Canis lupus familiaris: one gene and its partners. The protein of the gene in region 1 interacts with the protein of each later gene in a pairwise test. Links are inferred from orthologs where the notes say so. Each region holds a gene or a part of one and is shown on either strand. Other genes may lie near its edges. The genes, in order: SS18L1, RFX6 and MAPK1IP1L.

What was found.
Region 2: the proteins of SS18L1 (region 1) and RFX6 interact in binary tests that used the Homo sapiens proteins (3 or more experiments, as listed by UniProt). The two-hybrid records come from large-scale screens. The link is inferred for Canis lupus familiaris from reciprocal best matches to the Homo sapiens genes SS18L1 and RFX6.
Region 3: the proteins of SS18L1 (region 1) and MAPK1IP1L interact in binary tests that used the Homo sapiens proteins (3 or more experiments, as listed by UniProt). The two-hybrid records come from large-scale screens. The link is inferred for Canis lupus familiaris from reciprocal best matches to the Homo sapiens genes SS18L1 and MAPK1IP1L.

What each region holds. Positions count from the first base shown.
Region 1 is NC_049245.1:47,027,093-47,037,136, reverse strand, and holds part of SS18L1 (calcium-responsive transactivator), read right to left. Parts: intron 6,093-10,044; coding exon 6,016-6,092; intron 5,342-6,015; coding exon 5,257-5,341; intron 3,911-5,256; coding exon 3,766-3,910; intron 3,206-3,765; coding exon 3,011-3,205; intron 2,163-3,010; coding exon 1,998-2,162; intron 1,624-1,997; coding exon 1,519-1,623; intron 908-1,518; coding exon 815-907; intron 1-814. UniProt on the Homo sapiens protein: Transcriptional activator which is required for calcium-dependent dendritic growth and branching in cortical neurons. Recruits CREB-binding protein (CREBBP) to nuclear bodies.
Region 2 is NC_049222.1:57,840,919-57,850,962, forward strand, and holds part of RFX6 (DNA-binding protein RFX6), read left to right. Parts: intron 1-1,153; coding exon 1,154-1,276; intron 1,277-2,057; coding exon 2,058-2,264; intron 2,265-3,393; coding exon 3,394-3,906; intron 3,907-4,752; coding exon 4,753-4,965; intron 4,966-8,716; coding exon 8,717-8,892; 3' UTR 8,893-10,044. UniProt on the Homo sapiens protein: Transcription factor required to direct islet cell differentiation during endocrine pancreas development. Specifically required for the differentiation of 4 of the 5 islet cell types and for the production of insulin.
Region 3 is NC_049229.1:31,202,561-31,213,245, reverse strand, and holds the start of MAPK1IP1L (MAPK-interacting and spindle-stabilizing protein-like), read right to left. Parts: upstream 6,785-10,685; 5' UTR 6,634-6,784; intron 6,280-6,633; exon of another isoform or gene 6,070-6,279; coding exon of another isoform or gene 6,058-6,069; intron 5,752-6,057; exon of another isoform or gene 5,728-5,751; intron 5,495-5,727; exon of another isoform or gene 5,473-5,494; intron 5,457-5,472; exon of another isoform or gene 5,433-5,456; intron 1-5,432.

The DNA of each region.
Region 1 (10,044 bases):
AACATCTGGATTCACAAGCTGCCCATTTCACGTTTATTGCTGGGGTTTCCTTCCCCAGGGGCCCTGCTACCAACCCTCACATTGTCTCCACTTCTGACACCCGGGCCAGGAAGCCTGGGCTAAGCCGGCTGATGTCCCGTTGCCCGGTGACTTTATGGTTTTCTCTTCTCTTGGGGTCTCCCAAGGGCAGGAAGTACCTTCACTCTATGGGGGCCCCGCCGAGAAGCAATTGTGCAGATTTCTTCCCAGTTCTGTGTGTGGTGACGTCATGCTGGTGGCTGGACATCAGCACGGGTGGGAGTATTTGCAGCAGGGAAACGGGTGTGTGCTGGTCATTGGGTTTTTGTCAATAAAGCCAGCTTCATTCATCACTGCCTCACCCCACCTCCGATGAACAGCCCCCAGGGCAGCACCATGGGGGAATGCCGGGGTGGGGGCTGCACAGGCCCCTAGCCCAAGCCATGCTTTATCTGGTCAGCTGGTATTTGAAGAAATGCCCAGGCCGAAGCCACACACGTTGCCCACTGACTCAGGAGGGGCATGGGTGTTAGAACCTCCCCGGCTGAGTCCGTAACTCCGGAGCGTGTTCCACTGAGCTCTCAGGCCCCAAGCTGGTCAGCTGAGCCGCATGGTGGAGTCTGTGCCCCTGCAACCCCTACACGGCCAGCCAAGCCCCCTCCACCCACCTGCATCGTGAACGGGGATGCAGTGCCTCACAGAGCCCTGCACCACCTGCTGCAGGTGTGGGTCAGACTCCAAGCTGTGCGAGCAGCTTACGCTGCGGAGCTGGCTGTGCGGCCCCTGCGCTCCTTACCGCCCTCGTAGTAGTGCTGCGTGGATTCCTCGAAGGACCGGTCATAACTCTGCTCCGTGTAGGATGACTGCTGGTAGGCGTAGTCACCATGTCCTGCAGGCAAACAGATGACATGCAGTCAGCGGAGGCCGAGACCCCCGGATCGCAGGGCGCAGACACTGTGAACTGGGCAAAGCCGTCAGATCAGGAGCGGCCAGACATGGACCTGGATCTGTTTTCCCTGCACTAAACCCAGGAAGGAGCTTCCTACTGCCTCCTGGCCTCCATTCCCTCCTTTAAGATGCAAAGGATCACCCTACTTGAGCACTGAAGGAAAAATAATCTGCAGAGACTGTAACTGAGCAGCAGATCAAACGGCCAGGTCAGGTTTGTCACCTTCCTGAAGGCACTTCACAATGACACCTGTGTCCTTCTTCTAGAACAGCTACATGCACCTATTCATCCCAGCTGTAGCCCCTACTGCCTTTTGGGAAGGGAGACGGAGAGCCTCCAGTACGTGGGTAGCTGTGGCCTGTGCCGGAAGCTTCTCCATGGAGACCAGACTCGGCCCACTGGCAGACAAGCCCTCACTCTCATCCCCAAACACACTCCAGCAAGGGGCCTCTGGGTGCTCTGCTGGCGGAGGTCAGGGCTAGGACAGAGAGCGGCAGTCAGCAGCCACACGGTCCCCCGCGGCTGCCCGACAGTGTGGCTGCGGGCCTCACCATCAGGGTAGTACTGCTGGCTCATGGGCTCCGAGGCGGCCTGGCTGTGGCCATACTGCTCGCCGCCGTAGTACTCTTCCTGGCCCAGGTACTGCTGGGAGGACCCTGGAGGCGGACAGTGCACATGGGTCATTAACTCAGGACATTCTTCCGTTATGGGAGCAACCCCCCCGTGGGCCTCGGATCAGAGGACACCCCCCAGGCCACCCAAGCATTCTCCCCACATCCAGCCCGGGTACCCCGGACTTGGTACTTACAAACACAACAGTCCTGTCCCTGCTTCGGGCCCTGCGCCCGACTCCAACCCCTATGCCGGCTCAAGCCTCGTCTGCTTCCAGAAGCAGCACTGGCTTACAACCTTCCATGTTTCCTTAGCCCCACAAGGCTCCACACCCCCGACATCCTGGTTCAACCCTAAGGAACGTGCAAAGCCTCACGCCCTCCAGCTTCTCAGGACAAAGACCCGGCACGGGCCTTACCTTGCTGGGAGGGCCGGTAGGGCGCCATGGGCCGCTGCCCCATCATGCTGCTCCCCTGCCCGCTCTGGCCCATCATGGCGATGGACGACTGGCCCTGGTAATGCTGGCTCCCGCCCTGTGCCGAGTTGTAGTGGGACGAGGCTGCCTGCTGGTGCATCATGGACACTGGGCGACACGACAGACCCAAATAACCCCGAGAAGCTCCCCGGGCGGGTGTCCTCACCCCTCACCCCAGGCACCTTTCTCCCAATTTAAGATTTAAGAATTTCCTGGGCCACCTCCATGCATGAGAGAAACACATGTCCTGTCTTCCCGAATTCCTAAGACAGGTCCCAGAGGAGCCATGCCTGTGCCCAGCCCTGAGACTTGGGCTTCTAAGGTTCCTGGTGGATGGCCGCTGCCCCCTGGCCTTCAAAACCCATTAGAGCAGCCCTATCTGATGGGATGGGATGGGAAGGGATGGGATGGGAGCCGTGCCAAAAATAGAAGCAAACAGGTGAGATCTATTTTAGTAATACGCCTTGTTTGACTTGATATATTCAAAATACCCTCATTTTCAGTATATAATTAATAGTAAAAATAAACTAAGTAGACACTACATGTTCTCCCTTTCTCTATCATATCTCTGAAATCCAGTGCCTGACACTGTCCCACAGTGATTTGGACCTGATGCTACCCAGTGCTCAGAGCCCCATGCCTGGCCCGCGGGGGTCTGTAGCCCTGCACCCTGCCTACTTCTGCAGTCTGGCTACACTGTCCCCCCATCCTGTGTTAGTCTGATTTAGTTCCCTCCCACCCCCTAGCAGAACCTTCCCCCAAGCTACCACAGGGAACAGTGGAAACCCTTCCACAAAGCCAGACCCCAGATGGTCTGGTCCCAGGGTCTCCCGCCATCTCAGAAGCCCTACAGGACTACAATGTGCAGCCTGCACACATTTCGTAGGGCTCGGGGACTGTCCTGGGGTTGGGTAGAAGGGGGGCAGGGGGCGCCCCAGGGCTGAGCAGAGCAGTACCTGGATTGGACTGCATGTTGATGTTGGCCCGTGACACGTAGTTGCCGATGGCGCCCTGGCCCTGCAGGGGCACACTCTGCGAGGCGGGTCCCGAGTGGCTGTAGCCAGGCCCCGTGCCGTGGCCACTGCCCGACATACTCATGGAGGTGGTGGGCAGCGTGCTCTGTGCTGTCTGCTGCATCACATGGTTTGGACCTGCCAGGAGCACAGGGAGGGGGCCTGAAACCCATCGAAGACGACCTCTGATGGCAGGCCTGGCCTTGCTCTAGACACCCGAGTTCCTTCAGCGACTGTGGGGAGGGAGGCTAACCTGTGGTCAACAGCGCCACAGATGAAGTAAACAGTTAAGTCATTAGAAACAAACACACGTGCTGACCAAGTAGAGGACTCGCCCGTTATCATCGTCAGAGCTCCCAATGGCTATGGACAGTTCTTGCTCCAAAGATAACCTTTCTGTTCTCATTTTAAAAATCCACACAGAACCCCACACGACAATGTGAAATGGCCACAATTAGAGCGTCAAAGCAGAGCACGGGATCGGAAGTACTGGATTCCCTTTGCCTGTTACTCCCGGTACACGTGTGCCCGCGCACAGCAGCCGACCTGGAGCCAGGACCTCTGGGAGGAGGGCGGTCCCACACTCAGCTCTGTGGGGCATGGGGTACCCTGCTGAGACAGTGGTCACCCGGGAGCCCGAGTTGGTGACATGGTTGCCAGTAGCCAGCCCCAACCCCGAGGTGCTCAAAGCTACTCACCGTTGCCGATCTGGCCCTGCATGAGGGAGGACGGGGGCAGGCCCGTGCCAATAGCATCACTGAGGCTGCCCTGGGAGTGCAGGCCCTGGCTGGAGCCACTCTGGGACAGTGCTCCGGGGCCCAGGTTCATGTTCTGCGTTGGCGGCTGCAGGCAACAGGGAGGTAACAGGGAGGATGGTTAACCCAGAGAATAACCACCTGAAGCCCTCCAGAGATTTGGTGGCCCGTGAGATCCACCTGTCTCATGGCCACCTGGCAAATGTCTAGAACCAACTGCTGCTCTCATACTTGATCAGACGATGGTGGATCACTAGGCCCAAGCCTTTTAGGCCAAGATAATACACCAAGCATTCTTGTGTGAACATTCAGAACTTAAATGAATTTCCAAGCTTATCAACACATCCTTAGAAGTTCAAAGATGGGTCCTCTTTACCGGGGATACAGCACCCCAGACTGCATCTACCTCAACTTACTCCACACCCTTGCCCCTCAGCTCGCCAGGGTTCTATGTCCTCATCCACACCACTCCATGCCCCAGGGCCTTCGCAGAGACTGCCCCGTGCCTTAGCACTGGCATTCCTGTCGCTCCTCTTCTGTGTGTGCCCTGCCCTGCTGCCAGCCCACCTCTGATCAGGATATAGAGGGCAACGGGATGGAGTGACCCCTGCATCTCATGTCCTCAATCCAAATCAAAGAGCACCTCCAAAGGTTTGGACCCATATGCTGCCTAACCTGGCCGAGAAAACAAAGTTCCCAGCAGGATCCACTGGTACCTCCAGGCTGAGGAGTCCCAATCTCATAGGCCAATCAAGGCTGGTGCAATGATTTTGTCAGCAAAACACATGCCGGCACTTAGAAAGTCACTTCCAAGGGACTAGGGGCAGCAGGAAGCCCTTCCCGGTGGCAGGTTTGTCCTGGAACCTCCTTGCCCATTGGTCCCGCAAGGGCCAGGCCCTCCTGAGGCCGTGCCTTCCTGTTTATTGTGGAGGAGGCAGCCGCCACTAGGTCTTGCTTTTGCGGCAATAATTTGATTTTGGGAAAAAGACTTTTAAAAAGTTAAGCAAAAAATTTAAAGAAAATTAACACTGGTGTTTACAGCCTTCACTGCACCGGGCGCTTCTGCAGTTTTGCTGAATCAGAGCAGCATATGTTCCCAGGCTACCGTTTTTCCAATCGCTCAGAAGGGCTCACGATAAAGAGCAAGAATCCTGTGTGCCACTGGCACTCCCTGCTCTCCCAAGACCCGCCTCCTGCCATTAGAGGTTTGGTTCCTTTGGGTCACCTCCCTTTGCTTAAGAAACGGGTGTCACAATTCTGACCAGTCCACTTCAGACTCTGACTGGCTTCCCACCCTCTTTCCATGCTCCTGTTACCTGGTTACTCCAGGTAACGCGCTCAGACATCTGCTCTCCGAACCAGCAGTTCGAAGCAGCGCCTGATAGCGCTGGGCTAGGACGGGGCCCCACCGTCCCCCCCTCTGCAAGCACTCACAGCGGGGAGCAGGGACTGCATGTTCTGGTTGGAGTCCGCGATCGTGGCCAGGTAGACCAGGTTCCGGTGCAGGATCTGCTGGTACCTGCGGGTGAGGGCGCACGGTGAGGCAGAGGAGCCGGAGGCCAATCCGAAGATGTCTACCGGGGACAGCCTTGCCTTGCAGCCAAGCCCCAAGGGGATGCTGAGCGCAGGCGATGCCCAGGGACAGGCCAGGCACCAGATGCTCTGTGGTCAGACAGGGCAAGGCAGGGAACGGGCCCCAGCCTGAGTCCTGAGCAGGATCCCATCTGATGACAGCATGCGGAAAGACCCCAAAACGGGGGCCAAGGGGAGGGGTCACCAGGTCTGTTCAGAGAACAGGAGGGGGTGGAGGAGAGGTCACAGGGGGGCAGAGGACAGAGGCTGAGGCAGACGCCCGAGCAGACTCCGCACAAGGCCTCCTCCATCTGACCCCGACACCAGGCTGACTCGATACGTCTGCACCCCTGGAGAGGCCGGCTCCCCGAAGCAGAGAAAACCCTCAGGCACACGGGGCTGCTGCCGCCACCGGCCCCCGGGGGCTCTGACAGGCCTGCTGCAGCCAGGCCCGGGGGCCACACGAGGTCCTAGCTGGAGGAGCGCACTGTCCCCTGTGTGTCCAGCAGCCGGCCCGCCTCCCATGCTTCCATCTCCCCGCAAACCTCCCGCTCCTTGGGCAGCGACCAGTGGGCGAGGCCATCCTCTGGGCGGGACCGCCGCTGCCGCTCGGCCACTTACTGGGTGCACTCGGCCGTCTTGCCCTTGCTCTGGTAGTCCAGGATACACTGTATCAGGTGGTGGTTCTCATCCAGCATCTGCAGAGAAGCACAGTGAGCACGGCTGGCGTCCCTCCAGCAGGTGCACAGCGCCGTCGCCGGCGTGCAGGCGTACCTCAACCCCCCCAGCAGGACCGGCCTCCCGGGGCTGTGCTGAGCGCGACCCTCCGTGCGCCACGGTCAGTCCCCCACGAACCCAGGGGCAGGTTCCGAGGTCTGTCACGTGGTGGAGGCAAACCCACGGCCCACAGGCCTCCCCGCCGTCTAGGGCCCTTGACCCCAGCGTGTGTGCCCAGCTAGGGGGCTGCGGAGTCCACGTGCGGGACGCTGGACTGGAGCCCCCCGCCTCAGGGCCACATGGCGGTGCCTCCCGGGAGACGGGCCCTGTGGAGCAACACCACGACCTCGAAGGGGGACAGCGCCCGGGATGGCCTGGGGAGACCCGAGGGGGGCGAGGGAGGGAGGTCGGGGGAGTGGGAGCAGCGGGGGGGCGGGGGAGACAGGCCCGGGGTCCGCAGGCATCCGGGGCGGCTAGGCGGGCACAGAGCCAGCGTCCTCCCCCTGGCTGCGAAGAGAAGGTTCTGGCTCTTCCTGCAGCCGCGCATGTGCCCAGCTTCCTGCTCTGGAAGGAGGGGCGGAGGGGAGCCCAAGGTGAGCGCCGCTTTCCGCGGGGGCCTTCGTTCAGAGCCTCGCGCCAAAGGAACAGCCGCGCCTTGGCCAGCGACGAACGGCGCCGGCCGCCAGGGCGCACGTCCTTGTGGGGGGCTCGGCTCCAAGGGTCACGGGCCACCGGCCGAGGGTACCCCTCGCTGCATCCTGACCTCAGGGTTCCACTCCCGCAGAGCCGGTGGCCCGGCCTGACCCCGCCAGCCACAGCCGCATCCGCTGGGCAGAGATGCTGCCCTGGCACGGGGCTGGAGGGGTTGGGGGCTGCAGGGGCCGGGGGCTGCAGGGACCGGGGGCTGCAGGGGCCGGGGGCTGCAGGGGCCGGGGGCTGGAGGGGCCGGGAGCTGCAGGGACCGGGGGCTGCAGGGGCCGGGGGCTGGAGGGGCCGGGGGCTGGCTGATGCTGGGGGCTGCAGGGGCCGGGGGCTGCAGGGGCCGGGGGCTGCAGGGGCCGGGGGCTGGAGGGGCCGGGGGCTGCAGGGGCCGGGGGCTGGCTGATGCTGGGGGCTGGCTGAGGCCGCGGCGCCCAGAGAGGGAAGAACTGGGACCTTGGGCCGCCGCGGCGGGAGGCACAGCACACTCAGGTCTGGGACTCAGGTCTGGCTCAGGTCGCCTCAGCCCCGCAGGTGCCGCTCAAGCACGTGGAGGAGCCAGACGCTCACCGGAAGCGCAGCAGCACCGGCCGTCACCAGCCCGGGGCTTTTCTGAGCGCGAGACGGCACGATCGTCCGCCGTCGGGGTGAGGAGAGGACGCGGCGAGGCCGGGCACTGGCCCAGTGGGCGGAAAACACCCAGGACGGGGCCAGCCACGGCGGGCAGGGACGCGGCCGGGCGCCCTGGCCTCTAACCCCGGCGACCTCGGCGAGTAAGGGCGCGTCGGGGCCGTGGGCAGGGTTCTAGAACCCGAGGGCGGCCAACACGTGAGAGCCCAGCGCGCAGGCGCGGAGACGGCCCCGCGGGGCCCCCAGAAGCCGGGCGCGCGCCGCTCAGGGGGGCGGACGGGGTGAGGAAGAGCCGCAGGCACCCGTGGCGCCGCAGGCCGACCCCAAGCGCCGAGCCAGGGAGCCCTGCCCCGGGGGAGACGTGATCTCCCCCGAAAGGAACTTACAAAGCGACGCACGAGAGCCCCGACCACCCCCAAGAGCCAGGAAAGCGGGTCAGGAAAGGCCGCCGGACACTGCGGAGAGCAAAGCCCGAGGCGCCGCGTGCTGACCGGCGCCAACCAGTCAACGGAGAGTTGGAACATGCGGTTGAGGAAACTCCCAGAGAACAGACTGAAAACACTAAGGTAGAAAACAGAAAACAGTAAAATTAGAAAAATGATCCAAGTGGCAAGAAACAATGCTTCCCGGACTTCCAGAAAGAAAACACAGGGAGAAAAATCATCCGAAAAATTGTTCAACGTGTTTTCTCAAAACCGAAGGGCATGAATTTCCAGATCAGAACGTTCTCCAAGGGGCCAGCTCGCCAAGACGCCAGGACAAGGCGAGATCCGAACAACGAACAGACTGAAAAAGCCCGGCACGGAGCTGCTCCACGGGGCACAGGTTGGCGGACGGTGGAGAGCAACAGCCCGAGCCCGGGGGAGGCTTCCTGAGGAGACGTGACCGAACCCAAGCGAGACTTCGAGGAGGGACGACCCACTCCAGAGGGGGCCTTCCTGAGGAGAGATGACCTAAAAGGTTGGCAATACCACCTGGAGGGGCCAAAGGTCAACATCGAGCTGTGGCCGGCGAGTGGCGGGGAGAGCCTCGTCTTGGGGGCTCTCCCGAATCTGCCCCTCGGCTCTTCCCACTCGCAGCCGCGGGGGTGAGCCCCCGTCCGTGCACACAGGTGGAACAGCTTCCTCCCTCTGGCCTACGGGGGTCCCTTCTGTTCTGGAGTCTTGGAGATCCTTCTACGTCGGCCCAGGAGACCCCACCTCGCTCTTCCCGAAGCTCCTGTTTCCGAATTCCACGTGGGCGTCACGCGGCCTCGTGCCTTTCGCGGACACAAACGGGACCACGAAGCTCGCCTCCCACACAAGGAGGGCGGGCGCGGGGAGGTTCCTAGGAGCAGCCTGAGGTGCGGGGAAGAGCGCGGGCTGGCCAGAGAGCTGGCTGCGCGTCACGGGGGCTGCACCTGCACTTGGGCCTCGGCCTCTGCCCACTGCGCCCGGGGCACGCAGGCAGCCGCCGGGGAGGCGCGGGAGGTCGGCCCGTGGCATCAGGCTCCCCCGAGGAGCGCCCAGGGGAGCTAGCTGCCGAGCACGTGAGTGAGGTGTGGGTTTCAAGACCACAAACCCCAAACACAAAGCGTCCTTGGGAGGAGCTGGTCCCTGCCTCGTGGTGCTACCACCTCCGTGTTTGACGCACGTGCCCAATTTCCAGAAACTAAGGACACAGGAACACATGCTTAACGTTGGCGCTCCAGCAAACACGCGCCTGTCTTCCCCGGGGCCTGCGGGAGTCGCTCCCTGGGTTCCGTGCTGGAAGCGCTCACAGAGGCCAGTCACGGGCACTGAGGCCACTGGGCTCTCGTGTGGAGGGAAGAGGCGCGTGCTCCCTCCAAGGTGGGGCGCTGACTCGTGTCTCGAGAGCCCACGCAGCCGCCGCGTGTTCCTCCACATAGGACCCTGCACTCCCCGCGGTCACCGCCATTTGGGGTGAACCTCTCACACCCTTGTCGCCACTGATACATCCGGTCCAGTGTCTGCTCCAGAGGCTGAAGACCCGCAGTTGGGACGCCAAGCGCCTTCCGGGACCAGGTCACCTTGCTTCGCCAAAAACGTAGCCTGCGAGGAGCTCCCTTCGCCCATGTTTCCACCAAGAAACTGAGGTACACGACGGTTGAGCCTGGGTACCGATCAGCTGAAGAAGGATCTGAGCCCAGGATGCTCCCATGCACCCCACAGGCCCCCGGCTCCCACCGCCCCCAACCCGAGGGCCGACGGCTCCCCCACCTCCCAGCAACCTCCGGCTGAAAAGGAACAGAACCACTCCCCAAGGTTGTGCGTTCTGCACAGGAGCCGTGTTGGCCAAGTGGTGTGGGGCCCAGTTACAGGAGCCTTCTTTGCACCAACATCTAGCACCTTCTCCCCGGAACCTTTCAACTTCTGTCAGGTTCTTGCGGCAGGGTGAGCAGTCACCTTATCAGCAGATGCCATCAGAGGTGCCACTGCAGATGCGGCAGGACACACCGGCGCCACCGCTTCACAGTCCCGCAGGACTTGGGGACGTCAGTGCCACCCCCCAACTCCTGCACCTGGGGGCTGGGCTGGGCCAGCTCCTCACTCCCAGCCCGGGGATCCCAGGGCACCCGTGGCCGGTGCTAGGGCCCTGACCTGC
Region 2 (10,044 bases), on another chromosome or scaffold:
CCCAGTGAACACTTAATGAATAGGAGCTATTATCATTACATCCTATTAGTGCTTGGATAAATTTTTTTTTTGTTAAACAAACAAGTAAACAATAATTAGTACATTATTTTCCAAAGGCACTACCCATTGAAGTATGGCAAATTTTTGCATCTTTTCCAGGAACCACATAACTGCACTCTGAGAATCAAAGAGCAGCCGAGAAGACATGTTCTCATATGTTTCTGAAACATCTTTCCTGATCGATTTGACTTGTGCCACAAACTGAGTCAAGTCAGATCTTCCAGAAATTGAATACTTTCATTTTCCTAAAATTTCTGGGATTCTTAGTTTGCAGCTATGATGCTAGCTCATGGACAGTACTTCTGCATTTAGTAGTAGTTGCTTTTCTAGAAATCTTCAAATTATAAATAGGTTATAGTTAACTAGGTTGTTTTTATTTAATTCTCAGTAGAATTAGATAAAATCAGTGAACTTGCATGGAGGGATGAATAAAACATATTGAGCCTATTATTTGAAATATCTTGCTTATATGTGAAGTTTCTTAAAATATACAACACCGAAGCCTGACTTTATTATGAAACCAGACTTTTGTTGGGAAATCGGTGGAATAGTCCAAAGAAGTTTAAGATTTTCCAGGACAACTTCCAAATGAAAATGACTCTTTTGTTTTTTTTCCAAACCAAAGAGAACTTTGTTTCAGGCCAGAAAGACATCTTTCTTGATACTTTTTTCAGACCATGGTGGCCATTGTCTAATTATTTAGTACAAAGTAAACAGAAATAGAGCAGAGTAGAGCTCATTCTCCCCAGGTTAAAGCTTATCACACTCCAATGTGTGCCCTCTTAAAGCATAAAGCATGTCTCACTTTCATCCGTATTTTCCTTTGATGTAATTAGTGGCCAAAGAGCTGGCAGGACAGTACACACAGTAAGCTGGGCAGGCGGTACACAGAAAGATTAGAGACTCAAGTTAAGCATGTTGGTCTTAGCAGGTCATTTAAAGTCCAACAAGTATTTGTTTATTTCAGTTGCTCCTTGTAAAGTGTTGTGAGATGGTCACAAAGATAACTCGACTTCTCTCTCTCTCTTTCCTTCTCCTTCTCTCCCTCCTTTTATCTCATAATGCCCTCTCCCCATTCCCATCCACAAACAAGGTTCTTTCCATTTGATCCGAATGCTTCTTGATGAATACATTCTCCTTGCCATGGAGACCCAGTTCAATAATGACAAAGAACAGGAGTTACAGAATTTATTGGACAAGTATATGAAGAATTCAGGTAATTTAAAATGTATATCTTATTTTTTGCATATTTCTTTCTTTAAACCTAAATTCAAGAATTTGTAAGTACACGTTGAGTGGGTCGATAAGTCTCAGTTTTTTTCCCCGAGTGTGTCACAACTAACAGAGGGTGTCAACACTATTGGAACACTAGTTTTTCTCTCCACCATTTACACATAGAGTAGTCAAAGGAGTTTACTGGAAGCTCTGGAGGATATAAAATTGATGTTCTTGGGAGAATTTACACGAAGGTAGAGAGGTGATTATAACAACAACAAAAAAATAACCATAATTCAAGACAACACCTGTGGTACACCACCTCATATAAATGGTGTAGAAATAAGTTCTATAGAAGTTTATTTTTTTTAATTTTTTAAGATCTCCGGTCTTCGGGATCACACCCTAGGCCAAAGGCAGGCGCTCAACTGCTGAGCTACCCAGGGATCCCCTCTATAGAAGTTTAGAGAAGGAAGAGAACATTTCAGTTTGAGATGTGATGACTTGCATTTTGAAGTCTGTCCACTCCAGAGTAGATTCCTAAGTGCTCCTCAGAACACACTTCACACTCACAACTGTGCAGATAACAATGACCACTAAACCCCAGCACCACTGCCATGACCAAACATCTGCCAGCCTCGTTTCCCATGGAAGATATTTCTCTGCAGTTGCCAGATTTATGACACAACCCTAAAACATTTTCAGTTTCCTTTTCTTGGGCTTATTTGTTAGGAATATGGGAATGATGTTAGCTTTCCCATTTAAAAAAAAAATCTTTCCAGATGCAAGTAAAGCTGCCTTCACTGCTTCTCCAAGTTCATGCTTTCTGGCCAACCGTAATAAAGGCAGCACCGTTTCCAGCGACACTGTGAAGAATGAAAGCCATGTGGAAACAACCTATCTTCCTCTGTCATCCAGTCACCCCGGAGGCTTACCCTCTGCTCTGCACCCATTCCCTGCTGGGAATACAGACAACATGCCACTCACAGGTATGCTGTGAAATGCTTGGGCCTCACCACATCTCCTTTATTTTCTTCAAAACTGATAACGTCTAGCCATTGCAAGATTTTAAAAGATTTGCCTTTCTATTAAAGCTTTATAATATTTTTGTGATTTTCATCATTTGTCATTCACGCTTTTATCAATACCACTATTAACATAGGTACTACACTGTGAGGTGGTCGTTTCGTTATATTGGAAGTACAGATAATGAGTTGTCTTCATTCAGTGGAAGAAAAAATTAGAGTAGGTATAAATAAGATTCTGAAGATGCCTTGAGAGTCAAAAAAATGGGATTCTTATTTATTTTTGGCTTCTGAGAAGATTTTCTTTCTCCCCCATTAAAAAGTAGATTTGGTCATTTTAGGATAACCACTTCAATAATTTTCCTCTTTGGTCTGGAGTCCCCGTTGTGTCAGTCTGAATGTTTAGTGGCTTGTACTCACTACTAGATAATACTGTTCTAAGTCCACTACTTGCCTTAATTCACAGATATAATTTCATTGGACACACAGAATTTTAATCCTGGAAGGCCTTTTAGTTCAGGGGCCTAATTCCACCAATGGAGAATCAGACACCAAGGAACTTGGTGGCATCAAAACTCCATTGTTCATCAGTGGTGTTTGCATGATGTTTTGAATTGGCTGCTTTGAAGCCATGCCATTTTGACCTTATTGCCTTTTTCTTTTACCCTAAAAATCAAACCAGTTAGCATTCAGCTTGTTTTTTAATTATGGAAAATGTAAGAACAGAGCCCTTGACCTTCCCATGCTTGAGCTCTAACCGTTTTCGTACCCATGGAAGCATGAGGCCTTCCCAAACTTTCATGCATAATTACTAACTCCAAAAGTCTTCACTGTTGTGAAATAGACATGTATTGTGATGGTTTTATTATTTATTTATTTATTTATTTATTTATTTATTTATTTATTTATTGTGATGGTATCTTTGAAACCTAGGTTTTTGGTGTTCCCCAAAACACCAGGTTTTGTTGTTTTTAGAGAATAGGAATGAACCAAATCGGGAAAAATATTAATAAATCTTTTGAATAATTTTTAAAGATGTGCACCCATCTGTTTTAATATGCCACTGGTGAATGCTGCAGTAATTTTTTTCCAGGTCAAATGGAGCTTTCCCAGAGCACTGGTCAACTGATGACACCCCCCATTTCTCCAGCCATGGCAAGCCGAGGAAGCGTCATTAACCAAGGGCCAATGGCGGGGAGACCTCCAAGTGTGGGCCCAGTCCTGTCAGCCTCCTCACACTGCTCAACATTCCCAGAGTCCATCTATCCTACCCACCCTCAAAGCAACCATGACTTTTATGGGACCAACTCTAACTATCAGACTGTGTTTAGGGCACAGCCTCACCCCCCATCAGGACTCTATCCTCATCGCCCTGAGCATGGTCGATGCATGGCCTGGAGTGAACAGCAGCTTTCTAGAGACTTCTTCAGTGGCAGCTGTGCTGGGTCTCCATATAATTCTCGACCACCTTCCAGCTATGGACCATCCTCACACAGCCAAGATTCACACAGCATGCAGTTTTTAAATACAGGAAGCTTCAATTTTCTGAGCAACACAGGGGCTGCCAGCTGCCAAGGAGCAACATTGCCTCCGAATTCACCTAATGGTATTGAAATTTTAAAGAATTTTTCCTGGTTCTTGAGATGGCAGTAAGGCAAAATCAGACATTGAGCTCTACCTCTGCTGAGCAGCATGTCATCCCATGTAAAGTTTCTAAAGATCTTGGAATGTTAGGTGTTTGAAGCTCATTTCTTTCATATACAAACATATATCTAATTCTTGTGGTTTTTTTAAAGTTGCCCTTCTAAATCCCCAAATGATAAAAATATTAGGTCAAACGTGTGTTTGAGATCTCCCTTAATAAGCCCAAAAGAAGAATGTTTTGTCCTTTGAAAATATTCCTATTGAATAATGTTTCTTCTAGAGAACTAGCAGCAGATCTTACAGCTTAGGACCCAAACAGTGCTCCCTGTTAGTCTGATAAAACACTTAAAGTTTAGGGAGTTGGAAAGATCCGTGACTTCAGCTGCCAAAGCAGCTCTGCGTCCTCTTTCCTAAATGTAGGCCAGTCCTTCTTCCAGAAACACAATTCTGTAGATACAACTGGTATTTGACAAGCAGTGTAATCTTTGCGAGAGGTTAGTAGTGCTTTTTTTCTTTAAAAGAAGATCTTGTTAATGTAGATGAGGAGAATATGAGAGAGATGTAGTCTTTTATCTGAAAATTAGCAATAGAATAACTCCTTTGTATTTTTTAAAAATAAAAAGCCAGCATTGTGAACCATAGCCATTATACAAGCACAAATCCAATTCTATATAGTAAATGTAGCTGTGAATGTCATGTTTATAATGCAATATCTTTAGGGCTCTACTCTATTGCCTTGTCCCTTTTCCCTTCCTGTAATATTTTTTGTAATAAGTGAACAGAACATTCTTGACATTTTCTGTTCTAGGATACTATGGAAGTAACATAAACTACCCAGAGTCTCATAGGCTTGGATCGATGGTGAATCAACACGTTTCCGTCATCAGCAGTGTTCGCTCACTGCCTCCCTACAATGACATCCACGATCCACTTAACATTTTAGATGACAGTAGTAGAAAGCAGACCAGCTCGTTTTACGCAGACACATCGCCTTCCGTTGCGTGTCGAACTCCAGTAGTAGGTAAATTATTTTAGTAGTTCTTGGAGACATTTTAAAAAGCTATGAATATCAGGTATGTAGTTTTGCTCTGGAGGGTGACTGTTGAGGTGAGCTGGGCACTCATGCTCTCACGGGTGATCTATCCCTTTGGATCTGAAGTCTAATTTTTGTATCTATTGATAATAGTCTTCCCCGTTCTCAGTATATATGTCACTGTGCAGCCTACTGCCAAATCTGTTATTCTTTAAAAGAGAATAGCTGGCACCTTTTATGTTTGCAAAAAAGAAATATAACCCATCAGCCATAGTCTAAAGACTTTACCTTTTATGAAAGCAGTAATGATGTCTTTTTCTCCCTCTTTCTGATTCACTGTTGGATGCAGGGGCAGTGCCAAGAGGTGTCTTTGGACCCCATAATCTCCAGCAGTACCCTAAACCACTCCAGGTTCAAAATAATGGTGATTTGTGATAGAGGTTACTGTCATTTTCTCAATAATATGTAAAATGTGATTAGACAGCTTTGCAGAAAATGTTGCTCCTTTTATTGTTCTGCTACATACGGTTTAAGTAAAAAATGAGCAAAACTGTGTGTTTGCCATGAAGTCCCCTCGCATCTTCTTCTAACTGGGTTGCTCTCCCTGGGAAAATCCTGAGACTTGTACTAGATGTGTTAGCAGTACCCAGCTAAGTGTCTGCCACATAGTAGGAACTCCACACATCAGTGAGTTGGAAAAAAAGGGGCAAAATACATGGGTAGAAGCAGTTTCCTGTATTAGGAATAAGGGATCACATGCAAGTATAGATGCATGTAAGTGTCAAGGCAGAGTGTTAATGTTTATATGCGATGGTTGAAATCTTCCAATGGAATGGATTTCAAGCTAGGATAAGTAAAGGGCTTTGACACCCAATGGGAGCATAAGGGAGAAGGAGACACATTCCATCTCTCCTCCTCAGTGTGCTTTTCCAATAACTCAATAGGAAGCACCTCTTCCCTTCCCGTGACCATTACAGATGCTCCCTGAGCAGAATCTAGCAGCTCATCTCCTGTTATCTGCAGATGGTCATTGCTTCTAGGTTACTCTAATGAAGCAGAAAATTCCACTTCAGGAAGTTTCCTCACCGTGAGACTAAAATGTATCATGTTGCTATTGTTACTATTAGTTCTGTTTACTTGTAGAGATAGTGGAAGCTTTGCTGGAACATAGCTTGGGTGTAGGATGGATTCTAAGCTCTAGTCATCAGAGGTGGCTTACAGGTAAATGGCAGAGAGGGCTTCTGAGTGAAGGGAGGACCCACTGTCTGCTTCCTTAGTTATAAAGCCTGGTTTTCAGGGACAGCGAAGAAGGTAGTCAGAAAAATGAGAAAAACAGCAATGAGAAGCCAGCAACCACACATGCAGGAAATGCAGTGTCAGAGAGCCAGTTGGTCAGATTCTCAGGAACTTACTAACATGTGCCAAACTTCATTCTAGGCATTGAGGTTATGGTGGCAATTGGGATGGAATTCCTGACTATAAGAAGTTTACATTCTAGTGAAGAGAGATAGAGCAATGGGTATATAGACAAATGCATTACAAAGATAACGTTGGATACTCTGAAGTCAATTAAATGGGTAAAATGACAAATAATGATGGAGAAACTGCTTTCAGTCAGATAGTTGGGAAAGGAATCCTGAGGCAGGGATATTAGAGTTGAAAGCTGAATGATGAGGCAATGACACAAAGGGCTGAGGATGGAGTTCTAGGCAGAAGAAATGACAAGTGCATAGTCTCTGAAATGGAAACAAGGAAAATTCAGTGGGCAGAAAGAAAGCCAGGGTGTTTTGAGCATAGTGAATGAAGACAGTGTAAAAAATAAATCAGTGGCCAGAGACCAGTTCACAGAAGATGTTGTGAATAAGGGCAGGAAGCTTGGATTCTGTCCTGCGTAGTGGGAAGTCATTGTAGCATTTGAAGGAGAGTGACAATTTACTGTATACTTGAGTGACATTAACCTGGCAGCTCCCTGCAGAATGAGAAGGTGCGGCAAAGGTGAGGTCATGAGACCAGTTAGGAGGCTGCTGTGTTGGTCCAGGTAGGAGAAGATGGTGGGTATTTTGTTATTTTTTTTTAAGATTTTATTTATTTATTTATTCATGAGAGACACAGAGAGAGAGAGAGGCAGAGACACAGGCAGAGGGAGAAGCAGGCACCATGCTGTGGGGGGGGGGGGGGCCTGACGTGGGACTCGATCCCAGGTCTCCAGGATCAGGTCCTGGACTGAAGGTGGTGCCAAACCGCTGAGCCACCCGGGCTGCCCTGTTATTGTTTTTTAAATTTAGAATAAATTAGTTAATATACAGTGTATTATCAGTTTCAGAGGTATAGTGATTGATCAGTTGCACTCAGTGCTCATTACCGCAAGCACCCTCCTTAATGCCCATCACCCAATTGCCCCATCCCCCCACACCTTCCCTCCAGCAACCTTCAGTTTGTTTCCTATAGTTAAGAGTCTCTTATGGTTTATCTCCCTCTCTGATTTTGTCTTATTTTATCTTTCCTTCCATTCCCATATATTCATCTGTTTCTTAAATTCCACATGTGAGTAAAATCACACAATATTTGTCTTAGCATAATACCATCTAGTTCCATCCACATTACTGCAGATGGCAAGATTTCATTCTGTTTGATGGCTGAGTAATATTCCATTCTACATATATACATCTTTATCCATTCATTTGTTGATGGACATCTGAGCTCTTTCCATATTTTGCCTATAGTGGACATTGCTTCTAGAAATACTAGGATGCGTGTACCCCTTCAAGTCAGTATGTTTGTATCCTTTGGATAAATACATAGTGTAATTGCTGGATTGTAGGGTAGTTCCATTTTCAATTTTTTGAGGAACCTCCATACTATTTTCCAGAGTGGCTGTACCAGTTTGCATTCCCACCAACAGTGTAAGAGGAATCACCTTTCTCTACATCCTTGCAAACATCTGTTGTTTGCCGACTTATTAATTTTAACCATTCTGACTTGTGAGAGGTGGTATCTCATTGTATTTTGATTTGTATTTCCCTGATGCTTAATGATGTTGAGCCTGTTTTTCGTGTGTCTGTTGGTCATTTGTAGATCTTCTTTGGAGAAGTGTCTGTTCATGTCTTCTGACATTTCTTGACTGGATTATTTGCTCTTTGGGTGTTGAGTTTAAGAAGTTCTTTATAGATTTTGGATACTAGCCCTTTATCTGATAAGATATTTACAAATATCTTCTCCCATTCTGTAGGTTGCCTTTTTGTTTTGTGGATGCTTTTGTTGCTGAGCAAAAGTTTTTATCTTGATAAAGTCTCAGTAATTCATTTTTGCTCTTGTTTCTCTCGCCTTTGGAGACATCTAGCAAGAAGTTGCTGTGGCTAAGGTCACAGAGGTTGCTGTCTGTGTTTTTCTCTAGGATTTTGATAGATTCTTGCCTCACATTTAGGTCTTTCATCCATTTTGAGTTTATTTTTGTGTATGGTGTAAGAAAGTGGTGAAGATGGTGGTTTGAACAATGGAAGAAGTATGGGTGGAAAGAGGAGGTAGATTTGGGATATATTTGGGTGATAAGGTTGTCTGAATTTAAGTTTGAAATTGAGTTTTCTTCATGAAATCTGTAGAAGGAAAAACAATTTCTAGGAAAATAGAATAAATATGTGTGATCAATGCAAACATAAACATAGAGACTTAAAGTGAGTGGCACTTGCAAAGAAAAAAATGTCAGTCAATATTCAATTGCTGATTATATTTTCCTTTACAGCATCCAGCTTGCAAACCCCAATTCCTTCCTCCTCATCTCAGTGTATGTATGGAACTTCCAGTCAGTATCCAGCTCAAGAGACCCTGGATTCCCATGGAGCGAATGGTAGAGAAATGGTGTCCTCTTTACCACCCATCAACACTGTGTTCATGGGAACAGCAGCTGGAGGCACTTAAACCAACAATGTTGGGTGGGGATTGAAACCAAAAATCTCTACTGCTCAACTACTATTCACTCAGATTGCTATCAGGGTAAAGAAAATGGAATATACAGTGACAAAACATTGTTTTTCAAGTCACTGTTACAAAACTTTGGACAACTCCATAATGAGTGGAGATACTTGCAGACTTTGCTTGCCCACAAATTGTTTAAAATGTGATCTCATTATTAATTATAGTTTCAAACATTATCAAATGGAACCAGTGGAGCTTTGAAGATGCAAACATTCCAACTCTGAAGATTTAATATTTTGCTTCCTAATTTATTGAAAAGTCTGTGTGCTGTTTCATATTTGGTCTATAAAAGGAAAAAAATATTTAATGCCTTTAAAATAACTTTAATTTATTAGGGTCTCAGAATCATTGTTTACTATCCCTTATTTGACCAAAAGTCAAATGTGTATGTACTACCTCCTATGGAAATGTTTACAGGGTCAAGACTTAATTCAATTCAGCCTAGACCAAAGTTGCTTGACTTTCAATCCTGTGCGTTAGTGTGATGATTTCTGTTACATAGCAGTATTCGAATTCTATGTAACTGAATGGAGATTATAAATGCTTTCCCACTTTATTTAAGAAAGATAAGAAATGAAAGAAATAAAGTACGGAAATATTTTTAAAGGCTCGATTGCTCTCAGAGCTGTTACTGTTTCTGAAAAATGCTTGGGATTTTCAGGTGAAGCTCCTTTGAATATTGAATTAAAGACTAAAGATGGTTGGTCAAAACATCGTAATTCAAGAATACATTCCATATCATATCCATTCATATATATATATATATATATGTGTATATATATATATATATGGAAATTGTAGCTGATAGACTGAACTTCTGCAGATTTGAAAGCAGTCTTTAATCAAGTACGTGGCTTAGAAACTAAGAGCGAATGATCATCTGAAAGCAGGGATCATCTGAAAGCAAAGAGAAATTTAAAAGTGAGGAATTTATTCCATATGAGTTAAGAAAATTTGAAAATTTGATACACCATCTATCTAACTCTTTTTTTTTTTTTTTTCTTTATCATATGTCTTAGCTGAGAGGTCTGTAGTAGGACTTATGGCCTGTAATGGCAAACCTCTATTAACTTCACAGGCTTTTCCTATCATCTT
Region 3 (10,685 bases), on another chromosome or scaffold:
TTCTCATTCAAGAACAAAGTATATCTTCCTGGTTTCCATCATTGTCATTTATCACTCAATAGTTTATTTTTTTAAAGTAAACTCTAGCCAAAAAAAGTAAACTCTAGCCTTAACGTGGGGTTCAAACTCATGACCCTGAGATCAAGAGCCACACATTCTGACTGAGCCAATCAGGCACCCCTAAGTGAAAGGCTTTTTAAATTTTACTGAATTACTTTTGTAAACAGTGATGTTATTAAATTATTTTATTCCTGAAAGTGTCACAGTTGATTCTCTGGGATTTCAGGTAACGAATTCTATCATTTGCAATAAACAAATATGCAAGTTTATTTTACATTCTCTCTCTTTTTAAAAGATTTTATTTATTCATGAAAGACACACACAGAGAGAGTGATAGAGAGAGAGGCAGAGACACAAGCAGAGGGAGAAGCAGGCTCCATGCAGGGAGCCCAATGTGGGACTCGATCCTAGATCTCCAGGATCAGGCCCTGGGCCAAAGGCGGCACTAAACCGCTGAGCCACCTGGGCTGCCCTACATTTTCTTTTCAATATTTACACCTCTTTTCTCCTTTGCATCAGCTAAACTTTACAATGAAACGTTAGTGATAGAGAGCACAATGGTCTTGTTCCAACTCTCCTAGAAATGCTTCTAACATTTACATAAAATTCCCATTTTTTAGGGGTACCTGGGTGGCTCCACAGGTTAAGTGTCTGCCTTCAGCTCCGGCCATTATCCCCATGTTGTGGGATGGAGCCCCGCATTAAGCTCCCTGCTTAGCGGGAATCTGCTTCTCCCTCTGCCCCTCATCCTGCTCATGCTCTTTTTTGCTCTCTCAAATAAAATCCTAAAAGCATTCCTATTTTTAGTTTAAGATGGAAAAAATTACATTAAAGATGTCTATTTATGCCTATGTTGCTAGATTTATTTATTCCTAGTTTGCTAGTTAAAAAACATTTCGAGAAGACACTGCATTTCTTTTGATCTTTTTGACATCTAATGAGCTGATCACAGTTTCTCTCCTTTGATCCATGAATAGTTAATTACACATGAAAACGGCTTAATACTGAGCCATCCTTGCAGTTTTAGTTTTATTTTCAAGTACAATTGGCTAACAGGAATGATAAAGACAAAGTGTGAAGCCTACAACTGCCATAATCTTGCTATTTATTCAGAATATCAAAAAACACATTTTGAATATATAGTATATACAACTATCCATTCATTCCCACATTAAGGTTTTGTACTAAAACCTTACATCACACAAGAGTAAATTCTTAGGATGAACACCTGAAAAAACTTTATCAGTGCATGACAAGTTTAAAGTCTACATAAGACAGTAACATGCTTTTCAAACAGGGTGAACCTTTCTGAAACAGAAAATGGTTCTGTATCAAAGTTCACATTAATTCTGGAGTGGAGAACTAACAAAGCAATCCATTCAAATTCATGTGCTCTTGCTTGCTGTTCAGGTTTTCAGAATTACTCTTTTCCCTCTTAGTTAAAAAAATATATATATACAAACACTATATAAAGTTAACTAGTTGTAAAATTACATTAGAGTGTAAGTTATTCCGTAAGTTAATAATATTAAACTGACTCACAACTCTGGCTTTCAAAATTTGAAGTTAAAAATAAAATCCTGAAAAAGGAGGTATTAGAATCTTATGATTAAGTAATGAAGCCCTCACTAAAGGGATTAGAGGTAGATCATTTCTTGTTCTATAGGAACTTTTAGTAAAGTGACCTTCTCTCCATTGTCTAGAATATGCAGTGTTCATATTAATGGGAAACATTCTAATTTACTTACTTGCATCATAAAAGGTAAAAAGCAGAGCTGGACAGCAGTGTTTCTTTTTCTTTTAAGAGTTTATTTATTTATTCATGAGAGAGAGGCAGAGACACAGGCAGAGGGAGAAGCAGGTTCCCTGCAGGGAGCAGGGAGCTCAATGCAGGACTCGATCCCAGGACCCCAGGATCACCACCTGAGCCAAAGGCAGACACTCAACCACTAAGTCACCCAGGTGTCCTGTCAGCAGTGTTTCAATATAGGAAGACTTGCGTAATTTTTTAAAATTGAGACTCTTCTAAAAAACTATTCCAAAATACCTAGAATATGCTATTTTGGGAGGGTAGGGGTAGAGGCAGAGGGAGAAAGAAAGACTCTTGGGGGATCCCTGGGTGGCGCAGCGGTTTTAGCGCCTGCCTTTGGCCCAGGGCGCGATCCTGGAGACCCGGGATCGAATCCCACGTCGGGCTCCCGGGTGCATGGAGCCTGCTTCTCCCTCTGCCTGTGTCTCTGCCTCTCTCTCTCTCTGTGTGACTATCATAAATAAAAAAAAAAAAAAAGAAAGACTCTTGAGCAGGCTCCACGCCAAATGTGGATGGATCCCTACGTGGGGGTCCGTCTCAGGATTCTGAGGTCATGACTTGAGCCAAAATCAAGAGTCAGACACTTAACCAACTGATCCACCTAGGCATCCTGGATTATGCTAATTAGATGAGGCCAAAGTAACCCCGAACGCCCCCCCCCCGCCCCAGTTTATAATCATAATCAAGATTTTCATTTTTTCTTTTTGGAATACAGTAAAGCTATTATTTCTAAAACTTTCCATTACTACTTTATGGCAAGATCTATGATGTATCCACTGAAAGTCATTCTATTATCTGAGCAGTAAAAACAGAAACTTAAAAGCAGAACAAAATTTCTTTTGACATACCTCAGAAAAGTAAAACATTTCTGTAATTCTTATGGCTTTTTTTTTTAAGATTTTATTTATTTATTCATGAGAGACCCAGAGAGAGGCAGAGACACAGGCAGAGGGAGAAGGCGGCTCCACACAGGGAAGCCCATGTGGGACTCGATCTTGGAGCCCCAGGATCATGCCCTGGGTCAAAGGCAGGTGCTAAACCGCTGAGCCACCCAGGGATCCCCACTCTTAAGGCTTTTAGAGTCAAATGGAAATCCAATTACCAGTAGATTTTATTTTATTTTTTATTATTCGTTTTTAAAGATCTTATTTATTCATCAGACACAGAGAGAGAGGCAGAGACATAGAGAGAGCAGCAGGCTCCTCACAGGGATCACACCCTCAGCCAAAGGAAGACGCTCAACCCCTAAGCCACCCAGGCATCCGACCAGGAGGTTCTAAAAACAAGTTAAACTCTGTAAATTACTAGTGACTACCCATCAAGGAATATTTCAAAGGGCCATCACAATTTGTGGTGGAGTGTCAAGAGCACAGGACTAGACAGTTATGAAATGTGGAAATCAATCCTTTGACTCTTTTGACTAAGGCAAGCTTAACCATAGACCACCGCTCATCTGCAAAAGTTTTACTTCCTGACTACTTCACAGATAAATTAAAAGTAACATGTTTAATAATCTATAATGTACTACAGACAAATAAGATGTTTATTAAGAGAAACTAAGAGGGATGCCTGGGTGGCTCAGTTAGTTGATCATCCCACTCTTGGTTTTGGCTCAGGTCATAATCTCCGGGTCATGGGGTCAAGCTCCAGGTGGGGCTGGGTGCTCTAGGAGAGGAGTCTGCTTGAGATTCTCTCTTCCCCTCTGCTCCCACCCCGCCCACTCTCTCTAAATAAGATCTAAAAACAACCCCCCCCCCAAGAAACCTCTCCTTTTGGCCCTCCCCACCTCTAAAAAAAAAAAAAAAAAAAAAAAGAAACTGAGAAATCAAGACTTTGGCACTGATTTGTTTAGTATGGGGGAATATGATGGTAACATATTGAAAATATAAATTTCTGATTAGAATATTTGATTATGGGCACCTGGGTGGTTCAGGGCACAATCAAGGGGTCCTGGGTTCAAATCCCACATCCGGCTCCTGACAAGGAACCTGCTTCTCTCTCTGCCTACGTCTCTGCCTCTCTCATGAATAAATAAAATCTTAAAAAAAAAAAAAAAAAGAATATTTGATCATTTTTATTATTGACTCTCTTATCAGATACATTCCATTTTACATTTGGACAACTCAAGGAACTGAGGACTTAGTAAAGTTTTTGAATATTCTTAAGCTTTTGAAAGACATAATTTTTATTTTTTTAAAAGATTTATTCATACATGAGAGACACAGAGAGAGGCAGACACAAGTAGAGGGAGAAGCAGGCTCCCCGCGGGGAGCCCGATGTGGGGACTTGATCCCAGGACTCTGAGATCACAACTGGAGCTGAAGGCAGATGCTCAACTGCTGAGCCACCCAGGCGTCCCAAAAGACATAATTTTTTAAAGTATCATTTTTTTTATACTTATGCCTGGAATATACACACCAGGCACTGTCTTGTTAGGCTTTGGGGAAATGAAGAGTACTACACAGAATAGACATTTAAGGAATTCACAATCTGGTGAACTACCCTTTATTTTTTTTTTTAAAGTTTATTTATTTATTTATTTATTTATTTATTTATTCATTCATTCATGACAGGGAGAGAGAGAGAGGCAGAGACACAGGCAGAGGGAGAAGCAGGCCCCAGGCAGGGAGCCCGATGCAGGACTCCATTCTGGGACTCCAGGATCACACCCTGAGCCAAAGGCAGGTGGTAAACCGCTGAGCCACCCAGGAACCCCCCTGAACTATCCTTTAAATAGTAACTACCTTACTTTGGGTAAGCCCAGGGCACCAAGTTGAGTACCTAAAGGGCACCTAAAGGAATCAAGGAAAGGAGAATAAGGGGAGGAACCCTGAGAAGAGGTTCCTTTGCAGTCTGGGAGAACAATGAAGAGCTGGCAGTAGGGGATGATGGGACAGGCCCCGGGAAAGAGCAGACCGTGCAAAAGCTAAAGCAGGCAAGAATACGCTATGGGAAATATAAGCAGTTCGAATTGGTTGGAATACAGAGAGGGGAGGGATAGAAGTTTTAGCAGAGAGCCTTTAAACTGAGGTTTGAATGTCTCAATCAGATTCAGCTCACCCCAGTGACTCAGTTTCTTCAACTATAAAAGGGCTAGTGATGCGAAAGACTAAATGGTATTCATAAATTAAGTGTCTATAATAACAGTGCTCTAAAAAATAGTGGATGGGCAACAGATATATATTCCCTTGTCTTTCTTCCTACATGGGCATGGCAGCAGAGATTAAAAGAATGACCCTGAAAGTTATGGCTGCGTAGATAAAACCCTAGCTCTTCACTGGCAGGTGATGGACAGGTTGAATTCTTCAAACTCCAGAGGTTTAAGTACACAGGAGTAGTATCCACCTTGCAGACCTGCCCCCAGACTGACAAAATAAATCTCCTGGTCTCTCTCTGGCACTCAAGGAAAACTCAACAAACGTTAACTTTTACAATCGCGGTCACAGGCCTGCAAACCTTTATCTGCAGTTCTCGATTTGGAAACTTCTGAAAAGAAAAGGAAAATTCCAGAATTTGGCATAAAACTTAGTTGGGTGGCAAAACGTGACCTGAGGATATTTACAGTTTCCATGAAGTCACGCCTATCCCTGCACCATTATTACCGTAGTCTCAGGGATGCTGCTGGGACCTTGTGAGGGTGACACCTCTGGCCTACGCATCTTACTCTTTCTAAAATCTAAAGACACAATTCGAAGATTGCTGAATTCCAAAACATACCGGCCCCGAGCCTTGCAGTTAAGGAATGGGTCTCTCTCTGTTCCTTCTGGAGAGAAGAAAAGAACATTCTCACACACACAACCCAACTCAAGTCGCTGAGACAAACTAGTTTTAAATAGGAGGTTCAGAGACGCCAGTACCAGAAAAATTCCTGTTGCTGCCCAGTGAATACAGCCGAACAAAGAACTTCTGAAAGCTCTCCGAAGGCTACCTTGGCCTGTAAAAGGAGGCTCCTTTACAGAACATGCCTTCACAACCATCAGGTGTGTAAGAGTGTGTATTTCTTCAGCAGTAATTTTTTTTTTTTTTTCCCGTCAGGGGAATACGGTCTGATGCCTCAACATTAGAAATTTTTAACCAGTAAAAGCACTGCTTTTGGTTTTCGAAGAGGAAACGGCTCAGCTATTTATAAGCTTCCATGCGTAACACAAGCCCCCAAATCCTAAGAAAGAGAGTGTCGCCGAACTCACGGCTTCTGTCATGTGTATTCGTCGAATAGGATCTGTGTAGCAACTCCTTCGGCAACTAACGACCGGAACGTTGTCACACGGCGGACAATCTGATTAAACAAGTGCCAGATTCCTCCAAGGCTGTTCAGGCCCCTCGCTCCCGTTTTATTAGAAATTAATGAATGGGGGAGGGGACCGAGGGGGCGCGAGCCGGGAAGCCTTCAGGGCCCAACGAACAAAGGGAGTCCGGGATCAACCGGAGCGAACCGGCCGCCGAGCGGGTCGCGCCGCCCGGAAAGGGGTGGGGGTGGGGAGGGTGGGGGAGGGGCCGGGCCCTCTCGCCGCCCCGCCCCCAAACCCGGCCTGACGTCAAGTGCGGAGAAACCCGTCCGGCGCGACGTCAGCCGCCTCCGACGCCTCCTCCCGGGGGGCGATCGGGGGGCACCTCGCAGCCTGAGGGAAGATGGCGGGGGCCGACGTTTAGTCCCGGCCCCTGAAGAGGCGACTCGAGGTTCCTCTGTTACCGCGCCCGTCTCCCGCTTGGGCGTGCTCCCCTGCCCCCCTCCACGATACCCACTAGCGCCGAGGCAGCCTCACCCGGCCAGATCCGAGCCCGCAGCAAAGTCTAGAAGCGGCGATGGGTCCGGGGGAATCGGGTGCTGAAGAACCGAACGCGGACTGACTGACGAGCGCGGCGGCGGCGGTGGCGGCGGCAGCAGCGGCGGCGGTGGCGGCGGAGGCGGAGGCGGCGGCGGCGGCAGCGGCAGCACTAACAGCGCGCGGCTCCTCCTGGCGCCGGAACAGGAAGCGCCGAGCGCGCCGCCCCCGCGCGCTCTCCCCCCTCCTCCCCGGGCCGGGTGCGGCCGCGGGCGCCCCCCGCAGGCTTCGCGCTGCACTGCGGCCTGCCCGGCGGGGCGGGGCGGGGCGGGGCGGGGCCGGGCGGCTGCTCCTCCCGCTCGCCCCGGGGCGGCTGTTTTCCTCCCGCGGGAGGGAGGACCGCTCCCCGGTTTTCCGGAATTCTGAGCCCTCGGAGGAAATGCCTGTAGCCAGTGACGTTCTGGGCACCTCGGCGGAAACTGCTAGCTTGTTTCCTGGACTGGTTTGAGGACTGCTTCTGGATTTCCTACGCTTAGAGATTTTTACAGCCGGGCTTGGATGCCGGCTGGCTGTGAATGCGGCCAACCAGTGAATCCCGGCCCTCGGGCCGAAATTGGGGAGCGCTACAGGAGCCATACGGGGAAGGGGGCCCCACATGTTCATCTTTGAAAGAACCTTTACCTACTTTGGGTCAGGTCTGTAGGATGATTGACACATTCCCCCGGCTGTCAAGGAATCTGCCGTAATTATATAGTGTGCAAAATGTATATACATACAGTATGTACATAGATTTTTATATGTAAAACTACACTAGAAATATGCGGTATCAGTACATTTTGCTTCTTTGGGTAACCCCTTAGTGGGTCACTGGGCAGGGGCATTTTATTAGAAACGTCTTAAAGGAAGACTTATTCCTGGGTATGCTCCACCAGAACCCACACTTCTCCTACTGGAAAAGAGGCAATAGAGAAACTGCAAATACCCAAGCCTGGGGAAGACCTATTTTTGGACAGGGAAAATGGTCTATGGAAAATGACATTAGTGTGAACAACTTACCCTGCCGTCAGGAGGCAGTGAATCTGTAATGCCTTATGGAGCTATAAGGAATCCTGAGTCAGCAGACGTCAGTAAAACTATATTTAAAATCTTGACCTGGGACGCCTGGGTGGCTCAGCAGTTGAGCGTCTGCCTTCGGCCTGAGCGGTGATCCTGGAATTCCGGGATCGAGTCCCCCATCGGGTTCCTGTATGGAGCCTGCTGCTTCTCCTTCTGCCTATATCTCTGCCTCTTTCTGTGTCTCTCATGAATAAAATCCTAAAAAATAAAATCTTGACCTTTTTTCATTAGGTTGTTGTTTTAATTCTGATTTTTTAAAAATTTATTCATGAGACACAGGCAGAGAAAAAGGCAGAGGGAGAAGCAGGCTCCCCGCTGAGCTGGGATTCCCAATGTAGAACTTGATCCCAGGACTCCAGACCCCAGGATGACGATGCTCAACCTGGGCAGATGCTCAACCACTGAGTTGCCGGTGCCCCTGATTTTATTTTTTAAGATTTTATTTGAAAGAGAGCGGCAGAGAAAGGGGATCATGACCTGAGCCCTTGGGCGGAAGCCCTAAGGATCATGCTTAACTGACTGAGCCACCCTCGGTCCCCTTCTGATTTTAAAATTAATTTTTTAAAAATATTTATTTATTTATTTATTTATTTATTTATTTATTTATTTATTTAATTTTTTTATGATAGTCACACAGAGAGAGAGAGAGAGGCAGAGACATAGGCAGAGGGAGAAGCAGGCTCCATGCACTGGGAGCCCGACGTGGGATTCGATCCTGGGTCTCCAGGATCACGCCCTGGGCCAAAGGCAGGCGCCAAACCGCTGCGCCACCCAGGGATCCCCTAATTTTTATTTATTTATGATAGTCACACACACACAGAGAGAGAGAGAGAGAGAGAGAGAGAGGCAGAGACACAGGCAGAGGGAGAAGCAGGCTCCATGCACCGGGAGCCCGACGTGGGATTCGATCCCGGGTCTCCAGGATCGGGGCCCTGGGCCAAAGGCAGGCGCCAAACCGCTGCGCCACCCAGGGATCCCCAAATTAATTGTTATATTGCTTTTCATTGCTGAGGTTTTGGGTAAAAAATATTTTGCGCTCAAATTGTCTCATTCACTTCACCTAGTCCAGGTCAGACATATCAGGGTGACTGCCTCGTTTTCCCATATTTTTAGCCAGTAGTAGCATGCTGAGTTCTAGAGCTAGGCCATTCCTGTCCCATGTGGACTGCCCTTGTCAACCTTTGCTTGGTAACTAAATCCCCACCTAGCTTTTCATAACTGCACTGCAGTCTGAAGCCCACCCTACCTAATCTTTGCATTTTTCATGTAGGTCAGACTTGCAAAGTGACAGGAAGACTTCCACATCTTCTTCCTTCAGTCTCTTGCACATTTAATCACATCTTGGCATCTGCTTCTGGAAGACCTAAACTGACACACTAAACGGACAAAAAAATGTATTATAAATTAGAAAACGTGTAATTTGGATTTTTAAAAATTTTCAGTTTAAAAAAAATTTTTTTTTTTTTTTAAAGATTTGAAAGAGTGTGAAAATGAAGGGGTGGGGGAAAGGAAGGGCAGAGGGAGAGGGAAAGAAACCCAAGTAGAGTCTGTTTGGTGGGGCTTTTAGGACCCTGAGATCATGACCTGAGCTGAAACCAAGTCCGATGCTTAACTCATGTCCCCACCTTTTTTAGATTCTAAGTTGAATGTGCGAAGTCTGGATATAGTGTTTTTTGTTTCTAGAGAGAGAGCAAGCATGCAGAGAGGATGAGATAGAATCTTCAGCAGGCTCCACCCCAAGTGCAGAACCAGAGGCAGAGCTTGATCCCATAACCCAGAGATCATGACCTGAGCAGAATTCATTCAGATGCTTAACTGACTGAGCCACCCAGCAGCCCTAGGGCACACAATGTTTTATCTTTTTGTTTTGTTTTGTTTTAATATTTTATTTATTTATTCTTGAGAGAGAGAGTCAGAGACACAGGCAGAGGGAGAAGCAGGCTCCATGCGGGGAGCCCAACGTGGGACTCAATCCTCGGACTCCAGGATCAGGCCCTGGGCTGAAGGCGGCACTAAACCGCTGAGCCACCCGGGATGCCCATGTTTTAAAAACAATATACAAAGCCTTTGGATTTTATGTATGAAGTTTTAATTAAGAATTGAAAATTTATTCAGATCAATTTATTTGAACTCACATCCAAGAAGAAACATTCAACTTCAGGATTAGAAATAAAAATGCAAACAGTCTACTTCTTTTTGGGTAAGAGGAGGATTCATACAAGCCCAACTGACAAGAGTACTAACAGCTTTGTGAAATTACTACTTAAACTGTATATTCAAGTATATATCAAGTTCATACTTGGCTTACATAGAATTGAGTCACTCACTCCTAGCAAAGTCAGCATAATTTAAGTAAACCCCCGTGAGTTTTATTTTAAGTCTGAAAGCTTAGATTTGATTATAACCACAGCAAAAGTGATTATCTTTACTTCCTGCAAATGTAATCAACTTTAAAATAACAGGCAAACATCAATTTTACTAAACCTTATTAAGGGTAGGAGGAAACTACAATTGTTCATCCAATTCCAGAGTCTAAACTATAAATCCAAATTGTACTGTTATCTCTATCGTCAAATCAAGCCAAGAAAGCCTATTACAGACTATCAGAAGTGAATGTGAATTTGCAGGGTCTACTAAGGGGATACTTTGAAAATCTATCATCACATTATTTTTAAGAAATTACAGAAATTACTTTAAAAGTATGCTCTAATAGTCACCTCTTAAGTGGAGAATTAGCCTTCAGGAAATCAAGTCACAAGTATTATTTATCTACATTTTATATGCTAGGAGATGAAGATCAAGATTTAGGATTATCTATTCAAAATTAAACAAAAATAGATTGCTTATATTTGAAATAGGATTCATGTGCCCCAAATCCCTTTCCATTGGGCTTTATTCATTAGTCTACATTTCTACATAGAAGCCAATCCATTAAA